Linked DNA regions of Lepisosteus oculatus. The protein of the gene in region 2 interacts with the protein of the main gene of each other region in a biochemical or structural test. Links are inferred from orthologs where the notes say so. Each region holds a gene or a part of one and is shown on either strand. Other genes may lie near its edges. The genes, in order: csrp3 and myog.

Evidence for each region.
Region 1: the proteins of myog (region 2) and csrp3 form a complex in vitro, tested with the Homo sapiens proteins (2 studies listed by BioGRID and IntAct, with this or other methods). The link is inferred for Lepisosteus oculatus from reciprocal best matches to the Homo sapiens genes MYOG and CSRP3.

What each region holds. Positions count from the first base shown.
Region 1 is NC_090716.1:7,306,414-7,318,946, reverse strand, and holds the start of csrp3 (cysteine and glycine-rich protein 3), read right to left. Parts: upstream 5,365-12,533; 5' UTR 5,217-5,364; intron 4,135-5,216; 5' UTR 4,108-4,134; coding exon 3,996-4,107; intron 3,011-3,995; coding exon 2,842-3,010; intron 1,345-2,841; coding exon 1,215-1,344; intron 445-1,214; coding exon 351-444; intron 1-350. Other genes in the region: transcription factor E2F8, read right to left, coding at 6,647-6,814, 7,123-7,505, 7,616-7,751, 7,844-8,128, 8,408-8,921, 9,398-9,479, 10,022-10,231, 10,331-10,468 and 4 more. UniProt on the Homo sapiens protein: Positive regulator of myogenesis. Acts as a cofactor for myogenic bHLH transcription factors such as MYOD1, and probably MYOG and MYF6.
Region 2 is NC_090700.1:33,456,840-33,469,394, forward strand, and holds myog (myogenin), read right to left. Parts: upstream 8,256-12,555; 5' UTR 8,140-8,255; coding exon 7,630-8,139; intron 5,618-7,629; coding exon 5,512-5,617; intron 4,257-5,511; coding exon 4,141-4,256; 3' UTR 3,661-4,140; downstream 1-3,660. UniProt on the Homo sapiens protein: Acts as a transcriptional activator that promotes transcription of muscle-specific target genes and plays a role in muscle differentiation, cell cycle exit and muscle atrophy.

The DNA.
Region 1 (12,533 bases), on a different chromosome or scaffold from region 2:
TATTAATTTCAATACATTGTTCATTTTTAGGAACCTTTTATCCAGGGTTTTTTTTTTTGAAAAAGGAATTTGATTTGAAATTGTGCAGATTTAACTGTCCTGACACTAAACTGTTCTTTGGCTTATGCTATACTTTAATGGGTTGTCCATTGTTTGTAGACTGGGCAAAAAGATCAAAGCTTAGTATAAATAGAATAGTGTTACTTATTCTAGAAATTATGGCATTTACAAATTGCCTTACAAATACTCTACATTCTATTATTTATTTGTTTAATTTAAAGATTTAATGTTGTAAACTAGTATATTCCTAATGTGTGTTTTTTATTTAAATGTGGGGGTCTTCTCTATACCTTTGCAGTAAATCTCTCCATCTTTGTCAGTCACTGTCGTAGATTCCAGACTCTTCCCACAGAGGGCACAGCGGAAGCATGTTTTATGCCAGGGCTGAACACACAGAACAGATCATTTTATTTGGGCTTCGTTTCATTATGGCATTTAACAATAATGACCAATTGCAACAGTTATCACACTTATTTTTTCTGAGTGAATAATTTTCATTTTCCATAAAAGTTGCTAATAATTAATATATTATTCATATAATTTAACCCCTGCAGATAGGTGAACAGATGTTAGTGAGCTGTGGATTTGAAATGCGCCACTTTATGAATACTGTCCATTTTTATTTATCTTTATACAGTTGTATGTACCAAGCTTGAAACTTCATACTGAATGTATTAGGTTTTCGAGATGCTCTAACTTCAAGCCTCTACAATGAGAACTTTTAACAAGACACAATCACATATAGAGGCATCTTCTCCGTGGGCCAAACTCGCTACTCTTAAAAACAAGTGGGTGAGTCACAAACAACAAACTTTGTGTTACTTTGTGTGCTATAAATGTAGCACACTTCCTTCGCTGGTATTTACTCCCACAAACGTCCAAATCGATGACACCTGGAGCAAACAAATTTGCTTTATCCCAGAGATTCTGTTTATGAATGAACGAGCAACAGACACTTGCTATTGTTCTCATTCAGCTGGAGAGTTTGTGCTTCATGTACTGTAGCCATTCTCAAAGTTACAAATGTAAAAAAAAACCTGTTACTGTTCTGTAGGTTCTGTAGGTATGAGCATGGCTTTTCTTCAGCAGATGTGACTCCAAAAGCAACAGTTTACATCCTCTCTTGAATGAAACCCGGCTGTGCATATTTGTACCTTTCCTCCTCCCATGACTTTCTCTGCAGCGTAAACAGCCTTAGAACAGCGCGGGCATCTCTCTGAGCCTCCGAATTTCTGAGCAAACTTGTTGGGGTTCGAGTTCGCTGTCGGGCGATGAGGCTTTGATCTAATCCAAAGAGGTGGGAAAAAATGTGTTAGTACATAATTTTTATTGCATCTATAAAAGTCAATGGTTATTTGTCCAACTGCAGTTGTGGGCATAAGGCTTATGTATTAGTTTATACCCCCAACCATAGCCCTTAACCTACCCTTAAACCTGAACTGACCTCATTTTCACAAACTTGAGAAGAGAGGCTAAAAAGTAATTGAGGCTATACCCACACAAAAATATTGTGAAATATTGGAAATGGTATTTTTAACAGTGGTTGGCAAATAGCTGTACTTTTTTAAAAACACATAGAAACAGGTGTGTTGTGTTCATTCAAGGAGTGATATATGTTTTGTTGTTTTCAGTTTTGTTTTTAAAATCACTTCGTACTTTGGGTAAGCCTAGGCATGTATGATAGGAATCTGTTTTGAGACACCTTCACCTGAGAAACTTTGCTCAAAACATGTTTTTTACTCCAGGGTAATTTGCTAGTTTGTGATTGTGGTGCATCCTGGTCTTTGAGAAAAATGAAAGGATTCACGCGACTTATTACAACATACACAAAGTACTTTGCATTTACATCTGCATTAGAATTGTGTACCTTATTTTCCCAACAGATATAATCAGGGTTTTGGAATGGTACATTTATGGGGTAATCCATTAAGGTTACAAGTAACAAGCAATGTAAGGGGTTAATTTTTAAAAGAAATAATAATTTTAAAGTTTTAAGACGGAATATAACATTTTACAACATAGTAACAATACACACGTAAAATGGATCTCTAACTCATGGCTTTTCAAATGATTTTCCCCCCAACGTCTTGGTTTATTCTCAAATGTAATCACTTACACGTGTAGCTCGTCACTGTAGTAGATTACTTTTAATTAATAATCTCTCGGTTTGAGAAGGTTGAAAATACGGATTTTTGTTATGCATGGTATTCCGTGTTTTCGGAATGTATTGTAAAGTAATATCCCTTTGAATTTAGGCCATTCCTATTTAAGGAGACTAAAATCTGCTCATTACGAAAACAAGATGGAGTGATTCCCATTCAATATTTGAGCGTCGGAGGATTTTGCCTCAAGCAAATCAGTCTCAAACATAATTTCCAGGTGACCCTGATCACTACTCCGGGTCTGTTCAGGACGCATTCAGTCCGGTAGCTTCTCAGGTGCGTTTCACGGTTGAACCAGGCGTCCTGGCAAAATTCGAACCGTTTGGAGAAGTGTGTAGTTCATATTAACTTGATAAACCTCAGGGGAAAAAAAAACGTATTACGCTGCAGAGGGCAATTGATGGATTTGACTAAACTCGGTTCTACTGAAGACGCAGAAGCTGACTATTGCCTTTGAAGTTGCAAAGTGAGCTCCAAAAATACGCGGATGACTTCGCGTACAAGGAACACTTTTGCGCATTTGGCACTGGACTTTGGGACACTTATTTAGTGCTGTAGTTTAGGTAAACAGGAAATTGAAAATGGTATTTGATCTGCTGGATGAATTCCCTTCACGTACTCTTGCGGTTGAATCCCCAGGTGCTCTCCGGGGTCTGAGCTGAGTGCTCCCGCACCTTGTCCATAGCCGTAGCCTTTTGGACCATACTTCTTCCCGTAACAGGTCTTGCAGTAAATTTCAGACTCGTGTGCTGCTACCGTTGTGCTATCAAGGGCTTTTCTGCAGACCACTAGAAGAAACAAAGGTAAAGCTTTCTTAGAAGACGGGAGCTGCAAAACATTTGTTGTTGTTGTTGTTGTTGTTTTTTTTATTTGGTCGCTGCCTGTCAGTATGATGCTTCATCCTGGGGTATGTTGTACATAAAAGTACCGTTTGCTAGCCAAAAGGTAAATTTAAATTTAGTTAAAAACTTGACTTATCGTGGTCACAAAAATAAAATGGCGTCAAACCTGACAATGAAAGCTATTTATAAATGTCACACATGACCTTTGCCTGGCCTGCTAAAGATAGAGCTAGCATCATTCAGATTGAGCCCTGGTGATTTCCACACCTCGGTGCTACGTTGTTAAGTAGCCAAAGAAGGTCGCTGTGAAGATAACAGATATTTTAGTTAATATTGTGCCAGTCTCCAAATTCCCTTGCATGCAAAATTGTCCGCTGTTGATGTTGAGCTATTGGCCAGTATAACCTGGTTTCTAATTCCATTTTTGTTTCGGAGGGTAAACTTTTTAATTTGCCGCAACAGACGGAGCACAGCCTGAACGGCAATTAATTACACGGACATTTGGGATTCAATGACATTACCGATTGCAGCCCAAATGTCAGACTTGCAATTTAATTATGGGCTACAGTTCATAACACGTGATGAAGAGCTGGATAGGTCTGTTGCCCTGCAAGCTCTTAAATCCTGGGTTTCAATTCGGAGCCCAGGGGTGCTTTTGTGCGGCGACTGCATCCCGCAGTACAATGACACGCTTTTTAGGTTAACTGGCGTCTCTAAACTACTGTATGCTCGTCTGTTTTCTGCAATGACATCTTGAAACAGGTGTCGCAGGATTTGCGTGCCTTTTTGAAAAAGGGGCAAACGTTTGGTTTAGAGTTCATTCCCTGCGCCCTCAGCACAGACCCATCCCAAATGCCCCCAAAGACAAAAATGAGCGACGGAGAAGTGTCGTCCGTGTGGACCATTAGTGGTGAATAAACGGAGGACTCACTGCAGATAAAGCAGGTTTTGTGGAAACTTCTTCCATTGCACTGTATCTCCTCTGCGTGATAAACCGTTTTCTCACAGGCTGAACACTTCGCTCCACCGCCCCAGTTCGGCATCTTAAATCTGTTTTTTCAAACGATCTGCTGGAAAAGAGAAAAATCACACAACCGCACAACATACAGTACCTGTATCCTGAAACAACAGTATTTACCAACTTCGCATCATTAAATACCTCATTGGAACCGCGTTTTCAGACCATTAATACTTAAAAAAATATTTTATAAGGGATTCGTTTCAAGCATGCTTACTCTAAATGTTCTAGCATTAAGGTGTTTTAGCGTGTTATGACATTTTCATGGCCTTAAAAGCATTTTGCTTTTGAATCTTTATTCGCAGAGCATTGAACGTATTTTAAACGTATACCAAGTTCTTTTAGTAATACATATCTACTATTAATTGTATATTGCGTGGCAAATATTAATTAGTGCCAAGTTTTTGTACACGTCAAGACACAACTAGAAAATAAATCAATTTAGCCCGTTATTTAAAACGTTATGATCAATTTATTATATAGTGATAAGAATGAACAGAAGAGTGTTTGATGTGTGTGAAGTTTTATCCCAAATGAGCGATAAGGTATCGGGTGACTGATAGACTACACGCAAGTTACTTATTCTCTCCATTGATTAAGCGACATTAAGCAATTTGAATGTCTGGAATGCCGCGATAAGAGTCCAGGAATAGGGTCTGTACAAAGACCACAGTTACGTACTGAAGAACTTATGCCAATGGTTCTTTAAAGGTAAATATTTAGATGATTTCATGCAGTTTGAGGCTTCATTCCCGAAATATACAAATCGACTTGAGGGGAAAAAATAGTTTAGTAACATATGTAACGTTAACTCCCGAGATAAAACGATATTGGCAAGAATTTATTAAAACATTAACTGGTATGCAGGTTTTTTATTCTATTCGGCTGGACTTCATCAGGACTACCATAATGGTTTCACGGTTTAATTACATGTTTAAAAACACAACTCTAATGATATTTTGGACGAGACGGGAATTTTGCCACTACAATTTACTAACACCAAAATCAATACAAAAGTATTTTACAACCAGTTAATCCAACATAACTCATGATATAGCACGGAATTCAATATTTTGACGTGACATTCTGTGATACTTTATGAGAAAGTCTTTGTAAAACAATACCAAGACTTACAAAATAGAGATCCCTGGGTCCAGTAGTCCTTCTCTGTTGCTTAGATCGGTGGGTTTGAGTTGATGTCAAACCAGGCAGCCTTAAATACTGGACATCTTTCATTCACAGCTATAGGAGGTATCAGTAGCTGACATCCAAATTAAGCGGTCTTCCCAAAATAACTTCTGACAAATCCTTTGCTTTGTGCTGGGAACTGGTAAGTCCCTAGGGGTGCCATTTGTTCTCATGATAAATATGGGCATGTGTGTAAATATGAAGGCAGCTGCATGTGTCAGATTTGTAGGCTGTATTGAAGGGTCCTTAGTTAAGAAATTTTCATCAGTGAAAAGAAATACAGGTGTTGTATGCTGAAAACAGAAAGAATCCCCCTTTATTTTCTTAGTAAATGTGTACATATCAAATTAATTCAACTGCAATCCAACCAAAGCAGTCCAGGTTAACAATTTTGATCATTGACAAATGTAAGAAAATCCTTCCTATAAATTAATGAAATTATAATTCACCTGATTACACTAATAGGAAATTTCCCCATACATTCATTTTTTATCTTTATTTCATAGATACCAATTAAAGAACTGTAACAGTTAACATATAAAATGTGCAAAATGTCATTGTGCCGTACATCTTTTTGCTAACATGCAAAACATGAATCATCCATGTATCGGTTTGATTTGTCCTATTAAGGCTACTTGTATTACTGAATAAGAAACATTTGTCATAGTTTATTCCTACATGCATATTTTGAATATCCTAAATGGGCATTGGAAAATTATGCAGTACATTAATGCATTGGGTCCGAGGTCCTGTGCCACTTCCTGCTTAAAACTCCAGTTCTGCTACAGCACTGACTGTATAAAAAGCTAGTGTTTAACATTAAAGATGGAGATCTTCAGTGTGAATGTTTTCTCATCCTGTGGAAATGTTGATTAACTGTTAAAACATTGTCTGTGCTTTAAGATGTACAGTGTAAACTGTATTTGTGTTTTTGCAGGTTTTCAAGCCCAGTTAGTTTCAGTGATCATGGGGCACAAGTCTGGTTCAGTAGAAACTGCAAGAAGTAAATAGCAGAGTACATACAGTATGCTGTTTTGTAACTACTCTAAAACCTGCAGGTACCCTATATTTTAAGTTTTTCCATGCTGCAGTTTTTATTAGAGGACACCTGGTAGCAGGGGCTGTAGTCTTCAGAAGGTATATCCATCTGTTTTGTAAAATCCACAAAACTTTTTAATGACTTTCACTGCAGGTGTTGCAGGACCTGAACACGTCTGTGCTTAGGACCTAGAAATAATTTAATATGAACTAGCGTACCCCTTTGTGCAAAGGGACACCCCCCCACTCACACAGTCAAATTGTCAAAGCTTTATAAATATCGTTTTGCAGCTCATGAAAGAAAAAAACAGTGCAGAGAGGGTCTGCTGCTACAGTCTTCAGGTTTCTTCAGTGCTCACTTCAAGTTTCCTCTGCGGTATGTAAATGTTCTCGTGAGACGAATGACTAGACGAGACCACAGCAGCCAAGGGAGACAAGGTGGAGACTGGGGTGTGGAAGAAGCTCTGTTGAGCACACTGGGATGCTTTGGGCGTTGCCAGAAGAGGCTGTTTGAAAATAAAAACAGTTACAGTCAGCTGATAACTTGGATTCAAAGTTTTCAAGGTGTGTAATGGATACTTTTACTCTAATGTTAATTCATGCTTTACATAAACAGTTCTGACTGCTTCTGTAACTGGTTAAAAATAATTTCTACATAGTTTGCACGTCTTTTTTGTATTTCACTGCTGCTATAAATATTTAATAATTTACAATGTGTTACATCAACAACTGCATATTACTATATAGTAGCGTGAAACATTTTTTTGTCTCTCTTCTTTTAAGAGGTCTTGAACAACCAAGTCCTAGTTCTCACCTGCTGTAAACTGATCAAAGTAACATGCTGTCCAGGCATCTGAGGCTGAACCGGGACTGGAGACATAGGCTTGATGAAGATCATCCCCCCTGGCTGAAAGCTCAGGTGTCCTGGGACGGGGCTGGCCTGCTCCAGGGGGGTGGCCACAGTGCCAGGGCTGGCACCCTGCGGGATTCCAGCCGAGATCAGCCCGAGGTTCTGTAGTGTGAAGTTCAGTATTGCGGGGCTGGGGCTGTTCACGTGCTGCCCGGAGGCAAAAGAAGGGCTCGACTGGTTGATAACTGGAAAGGAGGCGAGGGAGACGGAGGGGCTGGGGTGCTGAAACGTGGCGTGCGATGTGAAGCTCGTAGGGGTGAGTTCTGAAGACATCACAGGTAGGGCCCCTGTGGGGGAGGGGGGCAAAGACAGAATGGTAGTCAAATGGGTTTCAACCACTTCCGAAACACGGGAGTTCCAATGCTATCTTGTGAGCTTTCTCGCTCCGTGTCGGTACCTGTGACAGGGGGTTGGTAAGCCTTGTGGTGTGAAGCTGAGGGCTTGGGGCTTTCTCCGTCCGGGGACCGCGACCTCTGAAGGCTGAAGAGGGACTGCTGCGATATGGGAATAAGATAGCCGGCTGGCACTAGTGCCTGGAACAACAGATGTAACAAAAATCAATGGTCAGAACACATTTTCCCATCCGTGGATATCATTTGGAACGGAAATATCAAACTTTGGTTACCTCAGGGTGCAGATGACCAGAAGGCACCATGATTTCTGGCACGGAGACCGATCGTATAGGAGTAAGTCCTGCTTCGCTGTCGGAACACGAAAGCTTCTCTTCTTTTTCCAGGAATGTCTCCACACTTTCGTCAAGCTGCTCTGATCCCTTGTTCTCCGGGGTATTGATAAACTCTGGATCTAAGTGCAAGGCTCTAGGCGAAGGTCTGTTGGGTACCAATCCCCTGCGTGCCTTGAGCTTGTCCAGGTAGAGTTCGTATAGCTCTGCTTCACCGGGTGACGAACCCTGATGATAAAAATCAGGAGAGAATTTCACTTAAGAATGAGCATTTTCTCGGGTCGCATCTGAGAAAATTGACACCGAATCATCGGTAACCAAGCAGGAGAGTTACATACGTCTTTCCTTAACGCTTGACTAAACCTATTGGTCAGGCACTTTTTAAGTAATATAACAAATTAACTTTTCTGAATGACAGTTGCTAACAATGAACGTAGCTAATATTTTTAGGTTATCTGTAGCTCTGGAAACACCCTTAGAATCAAAAATAGAAAGAGGAAAACATACCCTAGAATTTGTCTGGGTGTTCTTTCTTTTTGGAGAAGAGTTTTCAAGCTTTTCAGTACAGGCTCGTTTATAGACCCTCTTGGGACTGTTCAGCGAACAAGGCGACTGGCAATTCTTTTGAGAGGAGTCATTTTCTGGATCAGAAGCTGAAGCTGTCCTGTCGCAGTGGATTTCTAAGCCAGCGTCAGGTGGACTTTCCCCACCTTTATCTTCAAATCTCATGGATCGTACAGCCAGGCTGGAGCGATTAGCTACTGGCCGCGCACAAGAGTGCACATATATAGCACATGGTCCAGCAGTCTGGTTCTGAGGTAGTATCATGGGGATGAGGGGAGAATACTGACAGTGAAGATAAGGTACTGCTCTGGTAGATGGCGCAAGGGTCTTAGCCTGAGAGTTGGTATCCTGCTGTTCTGCGTTTACTAGTTGCTCAACAGCTCCTGATGTTTTGGTGGCTTTTCCTTTTTGTTTTTGAGCTTGTGTCACAGTCTGTTTGGGTTTCTTCTTGCTTTTCCTAAAACAAAAGTAAATAGCAGTTTATTTCATGAGGTAGAAAAATGAGTTGCATTGAACAAATGAAGTTTTGATTCCCCCATGGTGACTGTTTTTTGGTGTGTATGTGCATTATCACTGTATTAGCATTAAGTAGTTCAGGTGGGTAGCTGCGTCAGCATGTGTAGCCTGCAAAGGAACAAGTAATAGGTTTATTCCGTGCTGGAAAAAAAGAAGAAAGAAAACAACGTTTTGGCTGTGGAGCCTTCTTCAGGTGTCTTGTCTTTCTCACCTGAAGAAGGCTCCACGGCCGAAACGTTTTCTTTCTTCTTTTTTTTCAGCATGGAATAAACCTATTACTTGTTTGTTTAGATGCATTAAGGCTATTAAAAACCAAAGTTTGATGCTTTGTCCGAACCAAGTTAAATAAGGAAATAAGAAACATTTCCACATTACAGAAAAGAAATATTGCACTAAATGACCTTAGTTAGAACTTACCTTGATTGCTCATCAAGCTGAATTTTGCAGATGGCTGCCAGCTGGGCCATTCTGCTTGGGTAACATTCAGGATCGGTCGAGTCTTGGGGGAAACAAGGATACGGAGATAAGTGTAAAGAATGAAAAAAAACAAAGTGCAAAAGGGACATTAAATGCCATATACTTGCTCATAATCCATCACAATTTACACAATATTTAAAAGCTAACATCTTATAAATGTATTGCTCAGTATTCTAGTCTGTTTGCTGGAAGAGGTTGTTTCCTGTTTAATAAAAGATGCCAGTGATGATCTGTAAGGCACTGTGTAGCAAGACATCTTGCTTCATTGTGACATGTATCACTGTCCAGTAGTTCACTTTATCTGGGGGATCATTTATTTTCAGACTTGTAGGTGTTAAAGATGTAAAGATTTATTTAATGCTGAAAAAGAGAAAAAAAGAAACACATTTTGGCTGGGGAGCCTTCTTCAAGTGCCATCTGACTCTACAGCCGAAAACGTTGTTTTATTTTCATCATGGAATAAACCTTTACTTGTTCCTTTGCAGCCTACGCATGCTGACGCAGCTTCCTACTTGTGTTAAAGATATGCCCCGCCACTGTATTGCTGTACTGCCTAACACTTACTTTTCATCTTGACAGGACTGCTGGGTGCAGAGTTTATTTTCCTTCGGTCATCCTGGATACTCTTTGCTAGCTTGACAAGAGATGGGTGCCGTGTGAAGCTATGCTTTGTCTTGGACGAAGGGAAGAGATTTTTGGCGCAATTTTCGATGGAGGATCTGGATTCTAATGTCTTGGATGTAGCTAAAGTGGCAGCTGATGATGTCTTTTCATCTGTGGAAAAAGGAAAAAATAAGCAAAATGAAGCTTAAAGACTAAAAGTAGTATGATCATATTAAACAACTGCAGTAAATTATAGCATTAAAAATGTACCTTTAACACATAAGAAATCCTCAGGTCCTGTCCACTTGAATGCTGGCTTCCGGCCTCTCTCCTCTGTAACGTGCACCTTTTTTATCAGCTCCAGACTACTCAGCACGTTAGCGATGTCATACAGCCTCCGGATTTTTGCTGGAATAGATGCAGTGGAAACCATAAGCACATGCGGTCCCCGAATTATTGAAGTATTGTAGAGCAACCGAGCACGCGTCATAAAACGGAAATCCAGATAAATAAAATACTGCTCACTTTTAAACTTGCTCTTATCCAAATCAATCACTTGATCCTCTCCGATGAGAATTTTAGCTGCGATGTCCAGACTGACCACGCGGGGCTTGGAAACCAAGAACAGCATCACGAACTTCTGACTCATAACTCTCAGCGACTTGTCCTTCCTGCTGTTGACCGAAGCTGTGAAAGCAGAAAGGAAATGGCAGTGAGGTTTCTGTTGTTTAGTGTAGTTCTCTGCTTAGACACAAGGGTCTTTTTTTTTTTATACAGCAGCAACTTTTTTCCATGTATACGTATGACACTTCACTCTGAGGTAAAAACCAGTTTCTTCATCTCATATTTTGGTTGTGGTCATAGGTTGTAAATCTGCATTTAACACCTCGACGGCTTCCGTTTTCCATTTAGCTTTTCAAATGTTTGTGAAAGCATTTCAGCCAGACAGAAATAAGCAGATGCTTTGAGGGGAAAGATTTAATAGAGTTAATTGTGAGCTTAATTTCTTCAAAAAGTTGCTGTTGGAAGCCTCTTCCTCTCCATGCTCATTTTCGCACACAGACAAAAGGGAGCGTGTCTGAAGCGCGGAGCCTCACCTGCCCTGAACTCCATCCCCGGGAGCTCCACGAAGAACATCTCCCTCTGCCCCACGTCGCCATCCAGCCCCCCGGCTTGCCGCACGTCCTCGTTCTCCTTCTCCTCGGCGTCCGAGTCGAACTCCCTCTCGTGACTCCTCTGCTTCAGCTGCTGCATCTGCGCCGAGTACCCGTGCTCCTCGCCCACCTGCTTCAGCATGCCCAGGGTCTGCGCCAGCTTGCCCCGCCCGTGCCAGGTGTAGCGGTTCTTGGCCAGCCGGCTGACCATGTGCAAGCTCTCCAGCACGTTGACGATGTCGTAGATGCGCCGGCGCTCCACATCTGTGTGATCACAACGCGGGTTCTTTTTTAAAATCCGGATTTATAAGCGAGACGCGGGTTGAAGAGCAGCACCACGAAGGCGAATGAAATATCTTATTGTGGGAATCCTGTGACGTACAGTACAAGCACAGTGCAAACCCGGGATTGTTAACTAGCAGCCTGGGGCTGTTCAGAGACTTCCTAGGTTTTCCCATCTAATTGTTCGTAAAATTACACAACAGATCTGCTCTGGTTCTGCTTGTGGTGCATCTGTTGATTTGCAATTGTTTTCGACATTTTAAAATTAACAGTAACTTGGCATGTAACTCTCGTTAGCTCTGTCTTTATCTTTGTGGTTGTTTTTGAGAATCACTTCCTAAACATGGAACCTCCAGACAGATAATGGCCTACTGAAACATAAATCGCAACTTACGAAGCTCTCCAGCTACTTCATCAAGACAGATATCATTGTTGAGGGCAGAGTTGGGATAATCAGGATATCTTGCTAGGAATTTGTGGCAGAGTAACCCCAAACTCTTTTCTTTCCGGCTTGTTTGAAGTTTGTCAGAATCGTCGCCAAAGTGTTCCTGGGGGACGGAGACACAAATGAGTAATTAAATCGAGTTCAGGATTGTGTAGTGCAAGGAAACTTGTACCTTTTTTGTAACAAAGCTTTTGATGTAACGTAAACACATCTGTAAAAGGATTAAATCAAGGATTAAATAAATTAATTACACCATAACAATAATTGTTCAACTGCAAATTCTTTGTAGGATGAGAAAATAAATATACAAATGCTGTTTGGACCAGGATGAATGAATTAGACATGTAATGCAAGGTTATTTTCAGCAATCTAATGCCAGATTAAAACCTGCAGGAATGGAGAATTGACATTTACCTGAGAACTATCAATAGCCCCTGCCCCTTCAGTGTCATCAATGCATAGCTCCTTTTCCCTGTTCCTGATCTCCGGACTAACGGCGCTGATCAGGATTTTAAGGTTTGCCGTTGGGGTCCAAGGCTCACAGGCAGGAGTGTCTTTCCCCTTGGTTGGCGTCGTCAGAGACCCCATGTCT
Region 2 (12,555 bases):
AGTTGTTTCTTCATTAATTTGTAAAGTCTGTGGTTTAGAACATAAATACTGTACATTTAAAATGAGAATATAAATTAAAACATCTACCTACAGTAATTTGTTTTTTAAATAGCTAAATGGTTTATGAATCTGGACTTTTTTTTAATCAGAGAAACCTGGGCTTTGACTTCAAAAACATGGCTAGGTAGCGTGTTCTAGACTCTCACAACCATTTTTGTTCACTTTTACCTCATGTTCTCATCTTGAAATGTGTTTCCCCTTGATTTTTGTTTGTGTCCTATGGATCATGTTTTACTGTTTACTCATGAAGAAGTCCAATGGGATGAGTTTGCCCTTAGGGATTTTTAATACTTGAATCAGGTTCCTTCATAGTCTTACCATTCATGACTAAAAAGGTTTAAGCTCTTTTAGTCTGTCAGTTTGAATACAGTATACCTGGTCGCTCTTCTCTGAACTGAATTGTAGCAGCATCTTCTTGGTATCATGGCAACAAACATTGTGCACAATATTCTCAATGAGGTCTTACTAGAGCATGTTACAGTTTTATGAACTCAACATTTTTAAATATATATTTCATCAACATTTTTAAAGCGTGGGAAAGTGGAGTGTCTTATCTCACATGCAATAATGGTATATCATTGTAAGTTGTGGTGTATGTACACTGTAAGTTCCTAGTGTCAAGGAAGTGCTTTTTTGTGTGAGAATAATCGAATATCATTCTCAAGGTTTAAGCCACCTTTCAAATACTTGTTATACAAAGAAACAGGTTTCACTTAAGGAAATGTTCTATGCTATATTTTATGTGCCTAAACAATAGAAACAAACTAAGTGTTGTGAGATGTCTGTGACAATGGACACTTCTGTAATCATGGTTCATTAGGGATACAGTGCCCACTATGTATTTTAATAATTTCCTGAGAGTACCGGATCTCAGAAATGATAGAGCTCTTTTTTGGCGAGGTGCTAGTGCAAAAACAAATAGACTGTTGCAGGAGTGTATTTACAGAAGATGCTGTTTTTTTAATTATTTGTTTTTTTTTTATATTTATTTGATTGATTGGGATCTTTTGGAATATTCTGACTAACTTTAGTTGAAAATGTTCTGCTGAAATGTGAGGGTATTTAGGCCCTGAAAAATTTCAAACAAGTTATTCTAATAATATGATCTATTTCTAATGGGATATATTACACCTGAATATGCCTGTTCTCTGCTCTCAAACTGGATATTGTCTCTTGGATTTAGCAATCGGTGCAATGTGCATGCTTCATATACTTGTGGATTTTTTTTTACTTTTTATACATCACTGATGGGTTATGTTGCCCCTGTTGCCATACAAGTTAAGCACTTCAGAAGCGCAATTCTTATTAGTTGTGTATTGACAGGAGCTGCTCCAGTATTTCTATGTTCACACTATGCTTTAAAATAATCCAGCATTCCCATTGATGTGTTGATAGAGTACCAATTAATTTCTCTTTTAATGTAATGTACCTTCTCAATGTCTGTTTTGTTGATTGAAATGTCTCTTCCCAGCCTAGTTATCTGTGGATCTTTATGAGTGCTTGAAATTGTGGGAGCAAAAAACAAAGAAATATATATATATATTTGGTTGCATCCGTTTGTCATTTTCTTTTAAGCAGTTTCAATTGTCATTAAAACGTGTCTGAAACTGGGATATAATTTGCAAAAAAAGAAAAATGTGCAATAAATTCATCTTTTGAAGTATGAGAAAGGACTGATATGTACAGTGCCTTGCGAAAGTATTCGGCCCCCTTGAACTTTTCAACCTTTTGCCACATTTCAGGCTTCAAACATAAAGATATAAATTTTTTATTTTATGTGAAGAATCACCAACAAGTGGGACACAATTGTGAAGTGGAACGAAATCTATTGGATTTTTGAAACTTTTTTAACTAATAAAAAAATGAAAAGTGGGGCGTGCAAAATTATTCGGCCCCTTTACTTTCAGTGCAGCAAACTCACTCCAGAAGTTCAGCGAGGATCTCTGAATGATCCAATGTTGTCCTAAATGACTGATGGTGATAAATAGAATCCACCTGTGTGTAATCAAGTCTCTGTATAAATGCACCTGCTCTGTGATAGTCTCAAGGTTCTGTTGAAAGCGCAGAGAGCATCATGAAGACCAAGGAACACACCAGGCAGGTCCGTAATACTGTTGTGGAGAAGTTTAAAGCCGGATTTGGATACAAAAAGATTTCCCAAGCTTCAAACATCCCAAGGAGCACTGTGCAAGCGATCATCTTGAAATGGAAGGAGTATCAGACCACTGCAAATCTACCAAGACCTGGCCGTCCCTCTAAAACTTTCAGCTCAGACAAGGAGAAGACTGATCAGAGATGCAGCCAAGAGGCCCATGATCACTCTGGATGAACTGCAGAGAACTACAGCTGAGGTGGGAGAGTCTGTCCATAGGACAACAATCAGTCTTACACTGCACAAATCTGGCCTTTATGGAAGAGTGGCAAGAAGAAAGCCATTTCTCAAAGACATCCATAAAAAGTCTCGTCTAAAGTTTGCCACAAGCCACCTGGGAGACACCCCAAACATGTGGAAGAAGGTGCTCTGGTCAGATGAAAACAAAATTGAACTTTTTGGCCACAATGCAAAACGATATGTTTGGCGTAAAAGCAACACAGCTCATCACCCTCAACACACCATCCCCACTGTCAAACATGGTGGTGGCAGCATCATGGTTTGGGCCTGCTTTTCTTCAGCAGGGACAGGGAAGATGGTTAAAATTGAGGGGAAGATGGATGCAGCCAAATACAGGACCATTCTGGATGAAAACCTGTTGGAGTCTGCAAAAGACCTGAAACTGGGACGGAGATTTATCTTCCAACAAGACAATGATCCCAAACATACAGCAAAATCTACAAAGGAATGGTTCACAAATAAACGTATCCAGGTGTTTGAATGGCCAAGTCAAAGTCCAGACCTGAATCCAATCGAGAATCTGTGGAAAGAGCTGAAAACTGCTGTTCACAAACGCTCTCCATCCAACCTCACTGAGCTCGAGCTGTTTTGCAAGGAAGAATGGGCAAGAATTTCAGTCTCTCGATGTGCAAAACTGATAGAGACATACCCCAAGCGACTTGCAGCTGTAATCGCAGCAAAAGGTGGCTCTACAAAGTATTAACGCAAGGGGGCCGAATAATTTTGCACGCCCCACTTTTCATTTTTTTATTAGTTAAAAAAGTTTCAAAAATCCAATAGATTTCGTTCCACTTCACAATTGTGTCCCACTTGTTGGTGATTCTTCACATAAAATAAAAAATTTATATCTTTATGTTTGAAGCCTGAAATGTGGCAAAAGGTTGAAAAGTTCAAGGGGGCCGAATACTTTCGCAAGGCACTGTACTGTATGTATACCATAAATGGAGTTTATTTCTAATACTTTGTATAAAAAACATACTGTATACTGTACACATTCAAATTAAGCTGCTACTGTTTCTGAGACTGGTTTATATTAATTTAGGTTTTGATCAAACAGTTTAATATTAGATTTAATATTTATTAATTAGATTTATATGAATATCACCATTACATTCTTGGTAATAACATTAACACGTCATTGTAGAATTGATAAAGAGGCTTGACAATGAAACATAGTTTAATTTCTTTTGAACATAATCAGAGACAGAAACAAGACACTTGGAAAATACAAATACACATCAGTCTTTATTATAAAAATCCAAAATAAGTTAACAAAAAAAATAAAATAGCAAATCCACTCTGTAAAAAAGACACATATTTACATCACTTTCTTCCACATTTCTAGCTTAAGTTAAGCAAAAATTGGTCAAACTGCAGTATAAAATATTGGCCCCACATGAATAACCATTCATTTTAAGCAAAACACACACAAATAAAATGCAAGACCAAAAGGTAAATGCTTTAAAGGATGATCTCAACTCATCAATATTAAGTTAAGGAGCAAAGAGCTGTTAGAATCGTTAAAGCTCTCACTTCACATATCTATACGTATAAAATAAAATAAAAAATGGACCACACATTTTGTACAAGGAAACCACTAAGTCATGATTTGACATGTTTTGTGGTTCTTGACTCTCAGGAGTGCTTTTGGTTCTTTGGAAGATTTGTGTTCGGCTCCGTCAAAGCTCTCATTTGGAAATATCCCCTGGGTAGGTGACCGCTGTGCCTTCCACAGTAATGCTGTCCACTATGGAGCTCAAAGACCGAAGGTTGGGTTGTTCCGAAGAGTCTTCATTAAGAAGGTCTAAAAAAATATAAAAATATCAAGTATAAAAAATATGATGAGGATGTGTCCTCATTTAGCTGTTTTCCCTTATTTCTAATTGTGCTCTGTAGCACAATTATATCACACACATAGTACAAGAAATTATCAGCTACTCAAGGAATGACTGAATTCACAAGGCTGTGTTGTGGGTGACAATGATCAATTCTTGTGTCTTCAATTAAGAAGGAATAAACGACACTATTTTTAAAACATGCCTATTGAGGAAAAGGAGCTGTTGCACATTACATGTGTGTATGTGTACCATGGAAGGATGATGGGTAAAGTGTGATTAAGAGAAAAATTGTGGCATCGACAAAAAAACCAGCAGACATAAGATTAGGCTTGTTAAATTGTTTAGTGTGCTGTTTTGATGGTAATACATGATAAACGGAGGTATGTTTTCTGAAAAATGTAGGAATTCAGCACTTGCCTCATTTTTAAATAACTGCATTTCCCTCATTTACAGCTTCCCCAGTGGTGTTTGTATCCAGATAAGGGACACAGCCATACAGTAGCTAGTAAGCAAAACATCCTTCATTCTCATTTGTTGGCATAATTCAGTCCCTGAACAATTAGGAATCCAGCGCTTTTTGCCTGTCATGGATTAATTACCATTATATTCAAAATCCTAATTATTTGTTGTAAGCTATAAAACAAGAATGTTCCATCTTTAATAATAAGTTTAGTACAAAGCTTGCTTCAGTTATACTAATGTATTGTCAGCTTCTACCATATTGTTGCTGTTTTCTTATATCATAATTATTGGTTAGCAGCAGTATTTTCTTTCACCAATATGTTGGTATGTTGAATGATTATACAGTAATATCATTGACATTTAGAGAACATTTCTATTTCAATTTAGTTGTTTTTTTTTCACTTTTTCTTGCAGGAATTAGACATCAAACTCCTAACAACATCTGCATCCCTGACAAGTTCTTTATTTATTTTCAAGTAAAATTTAGAAATGTTTTTTACATTTCTATAAAACAGGGAAATGAGAGGAGAACGTACAAAAAAATAATCCTGGTTAATATGTGATGTTTTTTTTTTTTTCCTGGCTTAGTCAGAATACCCTTGAAAATGAGAGGCTTGAATGCTCTAGTTTTGTTTTTGGTAAGTTCAAAATGACCTTAACAGAAAAGCTCGAGAGATATCCATGTAGAATAAATGCCTGCAGTAGGAAGCTCCTAGCACACCCTTGTCACGCCCACAGGCTGCGTAACTGCTGCCTTACCCTCAGGGTTGTTGCTGAATGCGTGGCCACAGTGATCTGAGGGGCTGCTCCACTCCGGGCTGCTGCAACAGGTGCTGCCAGAGCCCTGCTCACTGGAAGACGACACCTGCCGCCAGGAACACATTGACATCACACAGTCAGGCATGTCAGTTTCATTCACTGGACGTAAACAGCTAAGGGTTGGCTGAAACAAAGCACTATATCACACAAGCAAGTACAAGCAAGACCTTCCTCCCCAAAGAATAACTGGAACTTTTACCTTATCAACCAATAAGACTCATATAACTGTTTTTTTTTTCATTTTGTCTTGAATTTGTCTGGGAGGTTTCCTGAAAATATAAAGATCTTTATCCTTATAAAATTAGCTCATATACTGTAGATTATGGGTTTCAGGTCTTTAATTTTTTGGGTAAAACATTTGCAATTATTTGTTAGTTTTGTGATGGTTTCTCAGAACAAGCGGGAATCCAGGGCTCTTTGCCAGGCAGATGAAATGTATGTCCATACTAAATTAGTATGCTATTTTTTTTTAAAATAAGTCGGTTTAGATAGCATAGTGTCAAGTGAAACTGAATAAAAAGTGTTGTATTTACAGTATGTGTTAAAACTTGGCTTGCAATAGAAGATAAAGACAACATTATGTCATTCAAACTTCATACACATATAAATAAAAAAAAATGATTTTAACTTAATTCTACAACAACACATAGTATAAAAAACAATATGCAGAGCTATAATATATACTACACATCTGCTTTAAAACATGTGTCCTGAACAATGTTACTACTGAAAAGATTGTGTAGAAAATAGTACTTGTTCATTAATATTGATATTCTATTTCATTTTATTTTTATGGTCTGAATAATAAAGTCTAAGATAATTATTGGCACTTTTGAAAAACGTTCCTTAGCCTATTAAGGAGGCACAGTACAGGACAGGACCAGTGTTTTTTATTTGCTTGTCTAAATATGTGCTGTCCCTCAGACCTGGTAAATACATTGAATTTTTTAAATTGTATGATGTTTCCAGTATAAAAAAGTGTCTTCCGGTGGTTACATTTGGTTTCCAATAAAATAATTGCATACACTACAACAAAAGGCTAATTACTCTTAAACCCAAAACGTTTACAATTGGAGAACTGTCATTCAAAACACTGGCACTGATGCTGTAATGACACCAAACACTATTATTAAATATGCTTTGTTATTAAACATGTTCTTAAATATTCTGCATCTAAACACTGCCATATCTGTTGTTGTAATCATTTTCTGCTAAAGATCCAATGTTTTCTTGCTTAGCTATTCTCTTTTAAACTAAATAGTTGATTTATACTTTAGGTTTCAGCTCTCTAAGGGCTTGATAATCAGACTTGTTTGTAGGTCTTAATTTAGTGACACTAAAGTTGGGAAAATATGTCAAAGGTTTATGTTTTTTAATTAGATATGTCTGTGCACCAGTGAGGAGGTCTGGGAGTACTGTTTACAATAAATACAAAGTGAAATAAGACTGAGACTAATGTAAAGGTAAAAGACAGTAATTTCAGGTGTAAGAAAAAAACAATGATCATCTTGTGTGCTTGTAGCCCTGTTATTTAAAAATCCATATTTCTTTTGAGATCATGTACTCAGATCTTATTGTTGGATTTCTCAAGCCTTCATTCCTTAAGGACAATTGGTGTTAGTTTAAAAAAATACCTTAAAATAACATTTAAAATACTTTACAATTAAAATAATACTCAAAACACCAATGTAGAGTGCATTGCAAATGGATAGTTAAATGAAATTTTAGTAAATCTAAATCCATTAACCCACTGAAATAGATTCTATTTCATCAAAGCCAGAGACATTGTACATTTGAACATGTTTTTTTGAGTTACAGTAGTGATAATTATTGTTGTTGTTGATACTTGTAGAAAGCTGTTAAAACTTGATCCTTGCTGAAAGGACTAGTCAAACCATACAAGGTAGTGATTACCATTAGACTTTTTGTTGTTATTTATTTTTTGTTTACAGTAACCCCCTCAGTAACATCAGAGTACTGCAGGTCAGTGACAGGACACACCCTGCACGGTGCACTTGCTTTGACAGCCGGACCTCCCTCTCTGCTTCATTCACTTACCCTCTGGGAGCCAGAGCCCCTGTAGTGGAGCCCACCCTGTTCTCTCTCCTGCTGGTTCAGGGAGCTGACCAGCGCCTGCAGCCTCTCAATGTACTGGATCGCACTGCGCAGGATCTCTACTTTAGGGAGCCTCTGGTTGGGGTTCATGAGAGTGCTCCGCTTAAGCGCTTCGAAAGCCTCGTTGACCTTCTTCAGCCTCCTCTTCTCCCTCAGGGTGGCAGCTTTTCTGCGATCCATGGTGACGGATTTCCGCTTGCAGATTTTGCAGGCCCAAGGCAAACACTGGCCGGGGCAGTGCTCTTGAGGGGACAGGCTGGCCGCTGGGGACACCTTGTCTTCCAGGCCCGTGCCGGACAGTAACCTGCTGTCAGAGCACAGTCCCATCACTGGTCGCTCCTGGTAGGTAGTTTGATCGAAAGCACCTTGCAGCCGGGTGGGGAAAAAATTTTCACCTCCTTCATAGAACCTCTGATCGGGAAAGAAATAAGGGTTGGTCTCAAAAAGCTCCATTTTTCTGGCCAGTGCAAGGTCACTCTCCACTCCTCGCCACTGCTGGTCTGAAAATTTGTGCTCGTGTTCACAGGATCTGTGGAAAACAACTGCTCACACCAACTGTTTGGTGGCATTTAAACCCTCTGCTTGGCATTAGATCACTGGGTTAAATATAGAGAAGCCCAGAGAAACCTGATCCCACTTTTAGCTGTTGCCTCACATCCAAACTTTACATCTCTTTTCATTCTTGATCTCTTGGGGGGTTTTGGGGCGGTTTGGTTCAAGGAATAGTGACACAGTCTTTTAAAAGATAGGAGGACCCTAGCTTTGTTCTTTCAAGCAAAAAGAGTTAAATAAAATGTAATGCACTGTACACAAATTACCCAAACCCTAATGAATGCAGTCTTAATAAGGCATTGATTCCCATTTTTTATTTTGTTTCAAAATCTATTGCTACAATAATCAATTTCCTTTGTCTTTTTTACCATCTCGTATACAATATAACCATTTTTAAAGCTTTAGACCTTTTGGAAAGTGTATCCATTTAGAAAAGAAAAGGTAAAGATACTTTATGAGGCTGATTGCCAGAACTTCACACTTTGGTAAAATAAAAGAGGGTTTTCATTTTTTTATTTTAAGTAAATTAATTTTTTGGAAGAAACTCCCTATCAATGATCCATGCAATAATTTAGACCAAATGACTCCAATCAGCTCTACACTAATTGATGTAACTTGAACACCAGATTAGGAATTTCCACCAAGATGATCTGTAATACTACATGATGACTGCTCACTGAAATCAGAGAGAAGTAAATTAATTGTTGACAGTTAATATCTCCTCTGTGTTCTTCCTGAACTTAGATAATAATGCAGTGCAGCTATTGTTGATTTAGACATATCCCAGTTAAGTTATCTGATTAACAGGACTCACTATTAACGGCTTTCAACACTACACAGTTATTCAAATACTGGCTGTGTAACTTTTTTTCGCACCCTCTAAATGAACATGAATGCTCTTGGTTCAGAAGTGCATTAGCCCTGCCAGTCAGATTTCACTATCTCTGCAAACTGCAGCCCAGAAGCTTGTCCTCTCCCCTTAGTAACTCAGCCCAGGCCTGATGGATTAAGTGATTCTGCTGTTTGCTGTCAGTTTAAAGTGTGATGGATAGTCACTGATGGTTGAGGCAGTACAAAGACATTACTGTACTGGAGAGGGGTCCTCTCAGTGTGTTATAATCACTCATTACTACCTTAACATTTGGCCACTGGGTTCCAGAGCAGCATTATAATATTTAACCTTTATATTTATATTATATTTAATATAATTTAATAATAACACCTGAAGAAGGCTCCACGGCCGAAATGTTGTGTTTTCTTTCTTCTTTTTTTCAGCATGGGATAAACCTATCACTTGTTCCTTTGCAGCCTACACATGCTGACGCAGCTAACCACCTGAACTTATAATATTTAAGTCAGTTTTATATGGATTTATTTTTTATTAAATTTTGAGTTGTCATCTCAACCTTCCATTCATCCATTTTCTAACTGCCTTATCCAATTCAGGGTCACGGAGGATGCTGGAGACTAACCCAGCAAACAACAGGCACAAGGTGGGATACAAACTGGTTGGGACATCGCAAGGCACACACATAACAGGGCCAACTTTACAAAAGCCATTTAACCTTCCTGTATGTCTTTTGATGGTGGAAGGAAACTGGATCACCCAGAGGATAGCCACACGAACACATGGAGAACTCCATAGAGATACAGTAGCACCCCAAGAATTGAACCCATTGCCCCAGGAATGCTGACCACTGTGCCACCCTATGTCTGGCTTCCTCAGAACATAGATGTCAACCATTTCACTTTTCTCGCTAAATGAAACGTCTCTTAGCAAAGCAGCTTCTTTGTCACTTAAGGAAACAAATGGTAACAGTGACTTGACATTTCATTAGCCTGTATATTTCCTTGTTTAGCTTCTTTAATTTCTTCGGCGCTGCCAGAATAGAAATCAGCGCAATGTCAACATTTGGACACGAAAGTAAAATAACAGAGTCATTTTTCAAAATTACATCCAGATAATTCTGTAGCTTTGCTGCATATTCCAACAGTGGTTTTTGTACTCCCATACAGTATAGTCTGATAGGACCACTTTCAAAGTGTTCTTGCTCTTGTGCAAAATATGGTCCATTTTTCTCTTCCAGTACAGAGACCAAATTCCAAAATCCTCTAACAATTTCTTTTCCACACCCGTTTTGTCTTCAGCCTTTTAAAGAAAAGACATTTAAAGAAAATTACAGCAAATCAAAGTGAATTGTGTTTTGTAAGGACAGTGGGTGCAGCAAAAATATACTGTAGTGCACCTTGGGGTTCTAAAGCAGAAGGAAGGGAGTTAATGCTGCATTTTTGGTGTTAAAAGGTTGTGTCTCTTACTGGTGTCTGACAAAGATCAACCTAGTAAAACTAATCAGACTCAAGAAGATAGATATGTTTATTACCAATAAGTGTGTTTTATATCACTGCCAGTTTTCTGAGTGTTTGCAGTTGTAAATCATTTTTCAAAATCCTATCGTGGTCACTTTTGTGTGGTAGGGGTTACTTTTGTTTGTGAGGTTGATTCATGATTGGTGATTCATGGCAGTCTTTCCTGTGGTTTTGCAGATCTAAAGTCCCACCGAACATGAGCTACCAAATGCTAACTTATGTAAGCAAGTTGCTCCAAGTCTGAGAATCTGTCTTTTGAAATGTACAATTTAGAGTATGCTAGTGCATGTCAATACTGGATCCGCAGCTGATTTTTCCTTGTACAATACAAAATGTCAGCCATGAAAATAGTAATATTGATTTGCTTAGTAGGTGTTTGAAGAAAACAGGAAGTGAAAAGGTTTGCCCGTGGAGTTAAATGGCTTCTGGTTTTTTAACGGTTCGGGTTTGTCGATACCAAGTTGAAGAAGTGACCAAGAGAGCAGCTTTAGGAATTTCTTCTCGCGATCGGAGACTTGTCGTTGCTTGTGTTCCTGCTTCATCACTGACAAGCAGGAGCGCATTGCGAGACAGCTGTGGCGGGTGAATTAGCTTCTTGTGAAGAAATGCCCAGAACGTGGCCGCATTAGCTATGGAATGTGCTCTCTTCTCTCATACTTGGCTCCCGACCCCTAGAAAAATATTATGCCCTCCGTTATTGCTTCCAAGAGAGTGCTGGCCTCTGTAATGACTGCGACAGATGCTTGCCTCCACCGTGTTTAGAGCTTTTCTGCTTTTGACTTCTAAGTTGCCTGTTGCTATGGGATTTGCTTTGTCAAATGATCCGTTGACTGCTCAGATTAAATTTCATCCAAAGTGTGCTATAGAACATGTGACTTGTATAGAAAATGTGTTGTGAATGCAAAAGATCAGTTAGATCCGTCTGTCTAATCTTTAGCATTTTTTATTCCTTTATTTGTTAAATGAAAACATCTTGAGTGTATTTTTGCTTTATGATAAGAATATGTTTATGATATTTTTAAATGTGTTTCTTATTATCAAACGTTATTTTAAAACTATAAATATTGATGTCTATTAATATATCTACTTATTTATCTTTTGTTGTGACCTAAGTCATTTCAAGGGGCAAAGTGTGAATTTGCCTTCTAAAAAATGTAAGGTATGTGCATCAATCATCAGACATTAACTGCAGAGCACAGGGATCTTTGAAGTGTGGGACAAAACATTTAACTCTGAAAATGAAGGTGTTGATTTTTATTCACCAATGATAGATTGATGGAAGTTAAATTCAAAGTGCTTGAGTATAGTTTACATACAGTATAGGCAAAGATATTGCATTATATACTTGGAGATTGAGGCCATGGATAAATCTTTTTAGTCTTTTTTTAAGAGTTTTAGTCTCCTACTACAAAGACGTTATGCACAGTACCAGTGAGAAAGCATAAATTTATTTTACGTTATTTCAAGTTTTTATTCTGGCAATACTTATAGTAAAATAAGAAAACTTGAGGTCAGATAAATGAATATAGCTTTGATGGTCTGTGTCAGTGTAGGTACTGTACAGTATGTGTATGCAGCTTCCTGTAAACTGTAAATTAGTGAATGAATGACTTCCTTTCTCACGTGCATAATTACCCACAGTAAATGGAAGGACCTACTGTAAATGAGTAAATGCTTTTGCCAATGCGATTATTTTGAATTTGACTTTGATAGTTTCCAGAATTCTCTCTCAGGTCTCTGTACAGGTATCTGTACATAACTTAATTCACATTTAGGAAATCACAAGCCACTACAAATATATGTTTTTCTATGCTCTTTCACAGCTAAAGAAAAAAGGGGACTATTGACAGAGAGATAGCTGGAAGGAAATACTACATGTTGAAAATGGTCATTGCACTTGACCTGTTGGCTTTTCATTGACATGACTGATGCAGAGCTGTGACTTGCAAT